Oryzias latipes: one gene and its partners. The protein of the gene in region 3 interacts with the protein of the main gene of each other region in a pairwise test. Links are inferred from orthologs where the notes say so. Each region holds a gene or a part of one and is shown on either strand. Other genes may lie near its edges. The genes, in order: kif13a, ap1g1 and ap1b1.

Region 1 (4,433 bases), on a different chromosome or scaffold from region 3:
GTAAAAATAACAAAAAGGGGGCTAAATTACATTGCAGCTTTTGGCGGCAAAAAAAACCCCATCTCTGACTGATGCTAACAGGCAGAACATTTACAAGCATTCAGTCGTCACTAAAATACATGCTGTGCAATCACCCCATTACAATAGGAAAGAATGTTTGCAGAAAAAGACGTCCAGTGAGCTCCAGTGTGGTATTTGTTTCAGTAAAGATTTTCCCATCACTGTCAGCAATGTCGGCTGTAAAGAAAACAAATTGATCGCTTGATGGTACATAGAATGTAACACTACTATAATATGATATAATATTGTAAACACAGGACATTTACACAATTACAGAAAGGATGGAGATGAAGCAGAAAGCAGAAAAGATGTCCACATTGGCAGTGACTGTCAATTATGTGTCGGGTTTAAGGACCCGTTTCTAATTTGATTCAAAAACAAAACATTGTATTTGTAATACAGTGGTCCATAGCTGTATCGTTGTTCACCCTATGCGGTCTTGCTGATTTATTTTCAATACAATTTTGCATGCTTTTATTTTTGAACAGCACACTTTGTTCTGCGTCCTGATTGGTTGTAGACCTTATCAACTAACCTCCTCCATGCCATGTGTCAAGACTATTAAGTTTATATATACAGTCAATGCCAAAGTTTAGTTTCCCAAATCTATAAATCTTCAATCGCGAGCAGATCTTTTTTTTCATTATATAACAGCATATTGGACTTATTTTTCTAAAAACGTTTAAATCTTCTATAAAATCTTCATGTCTGTCTGAGAAAAGAGAGTAGTTAACGTTTTTTACAGCAACAAAACATTTGCAATTCTATTTCATCCATTCACCTATCGCAGATTATTTTTAGAACATAAACGCTTCAATAAACGAGGGACCCCTGTATTGACTTAAAGTGCCTCCAGACTAAATCAGTATTAACCTACAACATTCATTAGGCATTTAAACACTGCCTATGAGGGCAAACCATCAAACAATGTTTAATTCAAACCTTGTACCAATCTACAGACTTCCTATTTGTATTAAATAGAGAACTTCCAATAAAAAAAGCTTTATTTCATAATAATGAGCTCTGTCATTCTGACTCCATTAACTTGGAAGGCTACGTTCAGCAGATGTGACAATGCAATCGCCATATCAGCAGTGATGGCACTGCTTTTGTCTAAAAAAAAAAAAAAAGCTTCTTCATCGATCTTCTTTGTTCTCTGTTCTTAAATTTCTTGTTTCCAACCATATCTACCGGAGAGAAAAGCTGCTTTCCCTTTTAAACTTCTGCTAAAAAGTTCATATCTGTTCATCTACACACCAACCCCTTCCAGTAGATCTATGGAAAGATCTCTCCACTTCATAGTTTGGATTTCACTCTGACATTTCGAGACCTTTGGCAGACAGGTATGTGCTTTTCCTATATAGGACAAAAGTCATGAGTGGGGTCAGTGGTGGGTTTGTGGAGACTCCTAAAAAAAATATTGATCTGAAAAGGAACCAGAGCCCTGCACAGACACACTCAAAGGTAGAGCACACATAGCAGAGAAGTTATGGCTCATTATCATTACAGCAATTGGTATTGGAAAATTTGTATAAATTATAGCTTGGTGCCATGTGCAAAATGCAGTGCAATAGAATATTCCTGCTGGACCATATTCTGTGACTGTCAAGAAGGAGACGTCCACCCTCCAGAGAAAACCACCTACAGACAATTGAGTTTGATTGGTGGTGATTTGCTCATCTGGAGTGCTACAGTTGCTGTACGACAGATTACCTTTCATTAGAGAACTAACCCTGTGTTTTTCCTGCCCTTCCACTGACATTTATACCCAAGTGTCAAGATGAACTCGCGCTGACTCAACATTTCTCGCCTCACGTGTGTGACTGTGAGCCTAACTGGATTTGACGAATACAGTGGAGTCGGCCTCGGTTACCTGCTGTTCTCTCCTTTCGCGTTGGAGGGTGGAGGGTGCAGGACGGTTTGGTTGTCCTCCATATCCACGACACATTTAGTGTTCAATTCAATCTCTGCAGAGATAAGATTATTATTATTATTATTATTATTTATTAAGGGGGGAGGGGTGTTTGAGGGATTATTTTGTGAAAACCGCGCACGAGCGACACTTCCATCGTTTCAAAACTCAAAGCAACAATGACGAAGAAAGGGGAAAAAAGTTGAAGTGTAAATGTGAGCGCGCGAGGAGATATACTTACCCCTGCGGTTCATGGGCCGAACTCTCACCGCAACTTTTACCTTTGTATCCGACATTTTCGTCCACTTTTTTTTTTTTTACTCCCACCCGTCTGTCTGAGAGCTCAGAGTGCAGTCTGTGAATCCCCGACAAGAAGAACAAGCCCGGGCTTCTGCCGGCGAAAGGGGCAGCAGACGCGAGTCAAAAATGTCCCGAAATGCTCCAGACTTCTTCGAGGCGAAGACATGGAAATAAGTTCCGTTCCCCGCTCTCCTCTAAATCCATCCGAGTTGGCCTCTTGTGCCTCTGAAGCCCTCCGCTCCAGCGCCAGACAGCATCTCCACCGCCATCTTCCGCTGGGAGCAACGACTGCTCTCCTCTGGCACACGGGGGAGGCTGCGGCTCTCAGGGGGGAGAGAGGGTGGACGGGCCGCGCCGCTCATCAGGAGGAAAACATCAACGAGCGTTAATGTTGGTCTGTGACAGACTGCTCCACATCCAGCAGCAATGAATGTGGCGGACGAATCCAATGCTGAGGCGAACTTCAGTGACTGAGTCAAGAAGCTTTCTGGTGCTAAAACTTTTTTAGGGTTTCATCACGAGATCCACAGTGGAGAGTGACTAAACTAAACACCCTCTGGAAATTTTTTGGACATGGCACCTTTAAGCCTGGAAACGTAAAAAAAAAAAGACTAAAATTTGAATTTAACTCTTTACTTTCTTATGGAAATCTGCATGATCCAGTCGTTTGTTCTCCAATAAGCAATCTCATAAATCCATATAAACACAGTATTTGTTTTTTTTAACTTAATATCAAAAATAATAAGACAAAATTTACAATACTACATTTTTTTCCAAGCTGCAAGTTTTCAACAATTATTATACTTTTTTTTTTTTTTTTTTAGAAATAAAGTTATTTAACCACTTTTTTCTACATTTTAAAGACCAACACCAATAACAATTATGTTTATGGTGTTTTTAACATGTTCTCTTGTGGCATTTTTTTCATGATGCCGGACATACATAGACATATTTAAAGAAAATTAGGCTTTTCTTAGTATTTCTTTAATCAAATCATTGAAGCTGGATGGTTCAGTTGTAGGACTGGTGCATGGGAAATCATTGTGTAGCCACAGGAGCAGTCCCCAACCCAGATGAAATACAGTCAGGAAGGGCTTCCGGCATTAAAAATCTCTGCCAAACCACTTGTGGGAATTAGTGAAAGCTGATTTACTGTGGCAACCTCTGAAAGGATTTGCCTAAGGGTGAACAACAACAACTTTATTCAAATTGTTGTGAATCAGAAGCAGACAAAAAAATGCAGTTGGAAAACGGCATGTTGTCATGATGTAGGTGCTACAAATGGTAGGTCACAAGCCCCATTCTCCGCACCATTGGGATGTATCCACTTGCAGACAAATAGATCTATGACTATCTTCCTTTTCCTTCATGGCATCTGGCTCAAAACGGTTTGGCTGGATAGCTGCAAAATTGCTCACCATTTTTGCAGCACCAGTAATGTTAGATTGGGGGATGTTGCTGGGATGTAAGCTAACATGAGAAAGTGTAAACAGAAGGATGTCTGTTTAATTAGAGGCAAATTCTAAGGATCTACCATCGCTCTATGTCCTAGAAAATGACCGTTTTTTTTTTTTCATTTTGCCTAAAAACTCAATAATTGTAAATAAAAGACTACTTGGAAAGCTTTTACAATAGATCTAAAGAGGATTGGAGTGGGAATAATTTTTATTTCTGCATACATTTTATAACGGTTTAGAATTCAAAAAACTGCATACATTCCTAGCTAACTACATCCACACACCCAACACTGTCATGTTTGGCATATAATACTGATGACTCCCTTTAATGCCTTACAAATATTACTTATTTCCCAGTGGTGGAGGTCTTTTTAAGCTTAAAGTTATAACAAATGCACGAACTACAAAGATACTGGACAAATCTCATCCGGGAAAAATCTATCCAAATTTTGACAAATCATCAATTTAACTAATAAGAACCAATGGCGACATGTGTAAGAGAAAGACATCAGAAATGTGTTCTGAGATCCACTTGGTCAGTGGTACAGTAGATCCCGCATAGTATTGCTCTAATGAAAAATGGGTCTGGGTTCAGATCTAACATGTTTTGTAAGCATATGCTTTATTCAGGTTTATTAGAGAAAATCTTGACTGTGTGGTCACCACCATCCAGAGTGATGAGCATGTCATTTAGTAACACCAAA
Region 2 (4,175 bases), on a different chromosome or scaffold from region 3:
CTTCTGTTGAGGTCATACTTTTGTTTATGTGAATCTAAAACCTTTTTTTATTTGAAGGCCTCTCTTGCAGTTCTAATCACAGACTCAGCAGAAATGATCCTATCAGCCTGGCTGTCATGTTGCTGGAGCTAATAAATAATCATGACACTGCAGATTATTTTCACCTAAAAAAATTACTGACCCCATTCCTAAGAGAGCACACGACAGATTCTGCTGGGTGTTTTTATTTGTGTCCTGTCAAAAAGTGGCTCAACTTTTCATGAAACTGTGCTTTCAGATCTGTCCAAGAAGTGACTGATTTATTATTTTAAACTGCAGGATGAGCACTTCTAGAGATGAGAAATATGGTCAATCACATGACATGACATGTTTTAGGGACAGAATCAGGATGAAAAATATATTTTGGATTTTATTTTGTTTTCAATGAATTCGGGGAGATTGCAATCCAAGATAGACGCATGACCAACCCCCATGTCCCTGGGTGAAAAGAACAACCCTTTCAGATTGAATGCAAAACAGAGGAGTTGGCTAATGTGGGTGTGTCACAGGAGGGGACATTGGAGTTGTGTCCTAATGGCTAAAGTAACAAGATAATGTGGATTAATGGTGGCCATAATGCTTTGCAACTTTGTTAAGAGGAAATCTGCATTAAACAAAACTACATTTGGTCCCAGACATTTTATTTTGCTAGTCTTATATTAGCCAAGCAAATGCACAATATGTTCAGCAGATCTTTAGCCACTTCTTCCAGTCTACAAAATACTGCATTAGTGACAGGAGCAGTAAAACAATCGGGAAGCAGCCCCAAACAAAAGCTCAAATAAAACAGGACTTATCTGGGATCTTAATGATTCAATACTTGCCAAGTAGCATTTATTAAATTGGGATAACTTTGCATTTAAAAAGGTCAAATCCATTCATTTATATACAGATTTGATCCATCTAACAAAACAGTTCAGCATTAAAGGAGTTTCCCTTATTAACTCACTACTTAGTAATCTGTTGCTCATTAGAAAATTACCTCTGAGTTGTGGGTGGGACTATTGCCATGCTGTAATCTTTCCCTTACTTCCCATCATCTATTTACGTGCTCTCCCACTGGTTCCCTAGTACAGTACCTCACAGCACCAACGTAACATTAACGGTGAAACAAAAATGGCGAGCAATATCGGAGATATCCAGCTGTTTAGTTTTGCGCCAGATGCCAATCTATTTGGATCCATTAGTCTACAAGTAGATGCATCAGAATAAAGCTGAACAGGGGACTTATGTCACAGCTTCTTCCAAGTGCATTTTTTCTTCTGCTCTTGATTCACAACAATTTGAATAAAGAAATGCACAGAAATTCTATTTTTAGCTTAATTTTCTATGTATGCATATATGTACTCCATCATGAGAACAATGCCACGGGAACATGTTAAAAACACCAACAATTTTAACAGGAGAGGGCCTTTAACTCCATCTATTCAAAGCTGCTTAACATGCATAAACTTCCTTTGAACTTGAAAATACAAAATGGATTTTTTATACTTTGTGTTGGTGGTTACTAAGGCCTCAGACCTAAAGTAAAAAGGCAAGACACTCAATATTTTTCACTGACCATTTAATACGAAAGAGTTGAGAAAAACAAACCCCAAATGTTAATTAACAATTATTGTAAACCAATAATTAATTTATAGTATGATTGTAAGCCTATCCTCACCTACGCCAAGAGGCCCCTGAACTCCTGAAAGGTGTGTTGGTCCTGGTCAACAGAAACATTAACACTAAAGACAACCCAGCAGACACGTCGATACGCAGAACGTCACACTCGTAGCGCACTTCCTACTTATACCTCGACTTCCTTAACGTTAACCAGTCCTGAGCAACAAGTGCTATAATGGAAATTAATTAGATGTTTCATTACAGAAATCTACTAAGGAAGACGCTTCAATGACACCAACTGTTTTGTAAACATTATAAAAACAAATTCACGTCTTTAGTGAGCTATAGCTTCCTGGATGTCAAAAGCTAACTTGACTCGACATTTTAAAGTTTTTAAATATTTAAAAACCACATCTAAAGCTCCAGCAAACTGTCAAGTATCTTAACGACGAGGCACAACAACTGAGTAAAAAGTAGCTTTACAAAAAGTGCCCATTTTACTCGAAAGGGATCATGTTTGGACATCCTTAGCAACAACAGAGGCTTTACCGCTTACTCACGCTTTTTGATAAAATGCAAGAAGTTAATATTAACAACATGAACATACAAAATAATTAGAAAAGTGGTTTTGTTTAACCTCGAGCTACGACACCTGACTGAGTTCACCAAGTGAAGAGGACATGATGCGTTTAGGCCTTCGTGGAACATTTGGATTACAAACTAGCTAGCTAGCCCCCTGTACTACCGTCAGCTCGCTACCTGACAGTTCGCTGTTAACTAGTGTATAAGTTACAGGACAAGAGCTGTGGTCCAGTAGTGGAAATATTAACTACACAGTCATCGTTAGGTGCTGTCACAATAAATATTTCACAAAACACTTGGGAATTCTGCATAGCTAAGCCCGTAGATACCTAGCACTGCTCTACATGGTAGCTAACTTAGCTTACTGACAGGCACTGCCCCGGCGCACTGAGCGCTGCAACTTCCTATGCAGTGGCACTCTCTCTGAGATAACAACGCAGACACGAACACACGCGTAATGTTTTTTGTTTAAGAAAATTACATTTTATCACATTTCTGTCGATATGTTATTGTTTCAAAGTACTTACTAGCCGTAATGACGCCAGAAAAGGACTGGACTCGTCTCTATTAGCGATGGAGGGAGGAACACACTAGACATGCAAAATGGTGGCTACTCCAGCCTCAGTACATCTACCGCAGGCGGAGGGTTACACTCTCAGAGGATGGTAAAAGGCGTTCAGCTCAAGTTTGTCATCATCGCAGGAACGGCTGGAAGCAGAGAAGTCACCACTGTGACCGAGATTACACCTGATACAGCTCTGTTTACAGGACACCATGGGTAATAGTTCCGTTATGTCACTATTGGTCTTTTGTAATATTAAATCAATTATTCTATTTGATCAGTTTTCTACAATGCACGCTCGGTCTGTTCCCGTTATTATAAAGCGCTAGCAATAGAGCCTGTTGTTTTCTTTAACCATCTGGTTCTCGATTATCTTTTTGAAAAGGTTTCGAAACGTATTTATTTGAGATTGGATTCCTGGTTACACTGAGATGCGTTGTCTGACATTTTACATGAAACATGTGTTAAATGACAAGGCGAGGTTTCTTTTGTTGAGATAGAATATTATCCTTTAACCTTGCGGATGAGTACACTGTCCGTCTCGAAGGCGTGCTGCGGTCAGTTTACTCGTGGCATACAGTGATGACGACTGCATGCAATGTGAGAGTTCAGTGGTACCGTAAATTAAAGCGCCACCTAGCGGTGTCTCTTGTCCTCTTAAGAGGATCCTCTTGAGGTTTGATCTAAAACAATAATTTATTTTTTGATGAGATACCAATTTAGACTTGTTTTGTTTTTGTTCAATTGACCAAAACCATGCAAAGGTTTAATTATACTTAGTATATTTAGTTTATAAATAAAGATTAGGTTTGAAATTCAATGTAACAATTATTTAAAGAGAGAATTTGGATTAAATTGATATGCATTAAAATATCATTTAAAATGGAATTTGGCTCTCATAAATGCTTCATTTTATATTTTTGATGCTACATTTAAGTGTTGGTAAAAGTGATTTAAAGCAAAAACATTTTAATTACGGTATACATCTTTTTATTCAAGATGGTTGTACATGTATGCATGACTAACATGTCCTTGTTGTTAAGGTTATTTTTTGGGTCTCCCACAGGTGTCGGGAGTTGAACTTCAATAAGACGAATTACATATTTTGCAAAGCAACATATGAGGGATTAAAACTTAAACATCAATAAATAACACTTTGGACTAATTTGCCTTTATCCTGGATGGAAAAAATGATAGTATTTGTTTTATTAAAAGCAAATAACTAAACAAACAAAGTATGAGTTCAATAAATTTTCACGTTTTTTCTAACATACATATAGTACGCTAATTTAAAAAGAAATCAATAATTATTGAATTAAAAACTAGGGCTTTCTTTTTTGCCACACAAAATAAGATAAGAACCATAAAGTGTGTATGTAGTTATACG
Region 3 (3,650 bases):
TTCACAAATAAAAAGTGAATTAGTGTCTGCAAGACATAAACGGTGGTTGTCCTTAATGCCTAAAGCTTATCTTCTGACCATTTCCAAACCCTTAAAAGTGTCAAACACACATTTTTTCTTCTGGAGCAGAAATAACTGGTCAATTTACAAACATTAAAACAACATTTAGTATTTTTCAGATTTTAAACATGCAAATGAGGTAATGAAGATTTATTAGAATGTTTATATTTGTTGCAGAAAACTCTTACTTGTTGGGGTATTTGCGGAATATGTCTTTGATAACCACAATGGCCTCCTGTACCACGTAGTTGACCTTGGTCTGGATCAGGTCTAGCAGGGTGCTGACACAGCGCTCTGCTGATTGCTAGAGTACAATGGGGGAAAAAGTCTGAGCTTTATAGCTTGAGACAAAAATACAGACTAAGAGAAAATCTTTTGTGTAGAAAAATGCATAAACATTTAAAAATGTGTTAATATCATAGTTTAACAGATTAAAAACAAACATCTACTGCATAAATATTTACTTTAAGGTAGGAAAATGACAACAGAATTATTATTTTTTTTTGTTTTTAGCAGTTTACTGCAAACTTTGAACTACAGAAGATACATGACTTAAATGCTTAAACGTCTTTTAGAAACAGAGCCACCTGGTGTCTGAATCGGCACTTAACTTACTTTTACTTTACTTAAAAAGAACGTTAGTGTGTGTGCGTGTTGGAAAGGTAAATATATTTTTGACAAAGTAATGACTATCATGCATCATCTCCGCCCACCTCCACTTTGATGGCACAGCGGCCGATGGCCCTGACGGCTTTGCGAACAAAGTCCACATCCACCTCAGTGGCATACTCTTTTAACTCAGCCAGAACCTAAAGAGAGAAAAACACCTCTGTTACGTACCAGATCTAGATTCTCCAGAAGCACCGTCTGATTTTATTTTTTAACTATTGAAGCAAAGTGTGTTACTTGAGCTATGTTGGCTTGAGATGCAAGACGGATCATTATGTCCAGCTTCTCCAATTTGACATAAATGGGGTCGTTGTACTTTACGAAGAAAACTTTCATTTCGTGCTTCATTATCTCCGGCCTTAAAGACAAAAATGGTTAATTGGGTGTGTAGCCTAAATATGGCAGATTCCAAACAACATGTCTAAGCAGTTAAAGAAGTCTTGGATGCAAGAGCTTTTCTAAAACTTACCGCCTCTGGACAATGAGGTTGATATTTCGAAGTGCCACATACTGCAACTCAGGCTCAGCAGACAATAGTGTGACCAGAGGAGGGGCCAGCTTCTTCAGTAGAGTGCCATAATAGTCCAAGTCTTTTGGCAGCATTTCCATGAACTTCATTAAAACTTTCACTGCTGACAACACAACTGCTGAGTTGGCATGAGACAGCCTTGGGGTGACTCGCTCACAGATGCTGGCAGATTAGAATGGGAAATGAGAGGGACAGTGAGGAAATAACCTTTCAATGTAAGCAAACCGACATCCAGGATAAATACTGTCAAGATTATTCATGTACCTTTGGGACTCACGATCATCACGGGGTGTGTAATTGGCCAGGCAGTCTAAAATAAATATCTGTCCCCACTCTGTGCATTCGTTAAGAGCTGTAAGTAACTTGTTTATAGTCTGAGGGTTCAGATCCAGAAGATTACTGTTGGGATGAGACTCTGCGATCTCCGAAAGAGCTGCAACTGCATTTGCTACAACCTAAAGACAAACCAAACACAAGTAAATGTTATATAAACACTTTCTTTTTCCTAAGCAAGGAATTTACACAAAGACATGTTGAAAAATGATCAAGGAAATGGAGTTGAGGTTTCTCTAAAAAGAGAAGAGTAGGAAATCTGCCAAATGTAACTACAAGCAGGTACATACAGACAGCATACCATGGGATTGGAGTCAGAGATGAGATCTTTCAGGGTGTCCAGGAAACCTTGATCCTCCACCAGCTGGGCATTAATATCATGGAGCTTTGCTACACACACAGCAGCTGTCTTCCTCACATAAGGGTCTTCATCCTTCAGACATTTTCTCAGAGGTTCACACAGATACTCCGTGATCTTGTCCACGCGAATGCAACCCATCGTACGAACAGCAAGCGCTCGAATGAGAGGGTTAGGGTCTTCACAGTCCTAAACGGTGAAAGTAATCGCATATGAAAACATTCTTAAATGCAGTTCATTGAAGATACTTCCACGTAGCATTTTCCTGAATCATAAAACGCTGCATAAACACAAAAATCTCAAACTTGAAGGAATTTTCTCCAGACTGATGACAGAAATCAGGAAGGTTAACCAGTGACTGATAACGTTGCTCTTCATTTTAATGATTCAAAAAAGCTACATACTACAGGGCTCCAGACTGCGACCATTTGGTCGCATTTTGCGACCAAAATTTGAGAGTGTGCGACTGAATTTTACATCCAGTCGCACATGTGCGACCAGTAAATTTGCCTCCCCCACCCTCCATATTTTTTATACATTAAAAAATATCCGTGCTGAACTTTTCTCTGGGACCCGTAGGTTACGGGGGTTACGGTTAAGCGCGCGGCGTCGCATCCCCCCAACCAAACGGTTTATGCACGGCTGTTACGGCAGCACACCGCTCCAGCGGGAGTCGGGTCAGCTGAGGAGAATAAATGTCCCACACCTACATGCGTGACAGCTAACAGAGCTTGAACTTTAAACACGTGCGAGCAACAACACGGTTTAGTCCGAGACGCACTTAAAACACGCGGTGAAAATGCAAGGATAGACGTGTTTGAGATGAATGGCTGATGGCGAATCTGCAGCGAGACTGAAGGAGAACAGGAAGTTGAAGTTCAATTCAGTTCAATTTAGTTTTAATATTCCTCTCCCCTTTAGTATGATCTGTGTTATTATATATTTTATATTTATTTGAATGTTTTGTAATGGATGTAGCCTATTTTTAATCAATTGGTATTTTAAATTATTTCAATTTCTCATTTAACTACAAAAACCATCAGGACACATGTCCCTTAATGCATTGTTTTGTAGTTAAAGGGCAGCTTTCAGTCAGTTCAGTACTAAATTTCCAGCTGCGTTCGGTAGGTTGGGGCCTTGCTGCTCCCGCCCCTTTCTCCTGATATTTTTGTGATGATTGACATGTGATGTTGGAGCAAAAACAAAAATATATGTAACACACCAGGGGCCTCATTTATAAAACTTTGCGTAGGATTTGCGTCAGAAGTGGCGTACGGATGAAACATAGGACGTGCGTACGCACAGAAATATTCAGATTTATAAAACCGTGCGCACGCACATCCTACGCATCTTTCCCTTAATAAATCAGAACCAATTCTAAATGCAGCGCAGCTTTTGCGGCCTCATGACACGCCCATAGTTGCCCATAAATAGTCCGTGAAACGCCCACAAATGAATATTCATTGATTGCGAAACCATGGCACACACCGAGAGGTAATGAAAAAAACGTAACTTCACTCAATGTGAAGTAGAATTTATCGTTGGCGAGGTGGAAAAGAGGAGAAAAGTGATATATGATGGGCACAGTGTGGGCATTACTAATGCCGAAAAGCCACGTGAGTGGCAGACGCCGTTAATGCTGTAGCCTCACAACCTAGGACCGTGGTTAAATAAAAAAGAAATGGTCGGACATCAAAGTCG

Evidence for each region.
Region 1: the proteins of ap1b1 (region 3) and kif13a interact in binary tests that used the Homo sapiens proteins (3 or more experiments, as listed by UniProt). The link is inferred for Oryzias latipes from reciprocal best matches to the Homo sapiens genes AP1B1 and KIF13A.
Region 2: the proteins of ap1b1 (region 3) and ap1g1 interact in a two-hybrid assay, tested with the Homo sapiens proteins (2 studies listed by BioGRID, with this or other methods). The link is inferred for Oryzias latipes from reciprocal best matches to the Homo sapiens genes AP1B1 and AP1G1.

What each region holds. Positions count from the first base shown.
Region 1 is NC_019874.2:16,425,395-16,429,827, forward strand, and holds the start of kif13a (kinesin-like protein KIF13A), read right to left. Parts: upstream 2,843-4,433; 5' UTR 2,269-2,842; coding exon 2,214-2,268; intron 2,028-2,213; coding exon 1,934-2,027; intron 1-1,933. Other genes in the region: E3 ubiquitin-protein ligase NHLRC1, read right to left, coding at 4,352-4,433. UniProt on the Homo sapiens protein: Plus end-directed microtubule-dependent motor protein involved in intracellular transport and regulating various processes such as mannose-6-phosphate receptor (M6PR) transport to the plasma membrane, endosomal sorting during melanosome biogenesis and cytokinesis.
Region 2 is NC_019861.2:21,119,719-21,123,893, forward strand, and holds the start of ap1g1 (AP-1 complex subunit gamma-1), read right to left. Parts: upstream 2,856-4,175; 5' UTR 2,754-2,855; intron 1-2,753. UniProt on the Homo sapiens protein: Subunit of clathrin-associated adaptor protein complex 1 that plays a role in protein sorting in the late-Golgi/trans-Golgi network (TGN) and/or endosomes.
Region 3 is NC_019867.2:12,650,022-12,653,671, forward strand, and holds part of ap1b1 (AP-1 complex subunit beta-1), read right to left. Parts: intron 2,139-3,650; coding exon 1,893-2,138; intron 1,714-1,892; coding exon 1,523-1,713; intron 1,421-1,522; coding exon 1,199-1,420; intron 1,088-1,198; coding exon 967-1,087; intron 870-966; coding exon 774-869; intron 365-773; coding exon 249-364; intron 1-248. UniProt on the Homo sapiens protein: Subunit of clathrin-associated adaptor protein complex 1 that plays a role in protein sorting in the late-Golgi/trans-Golgi network (TGN) and/or endosomes.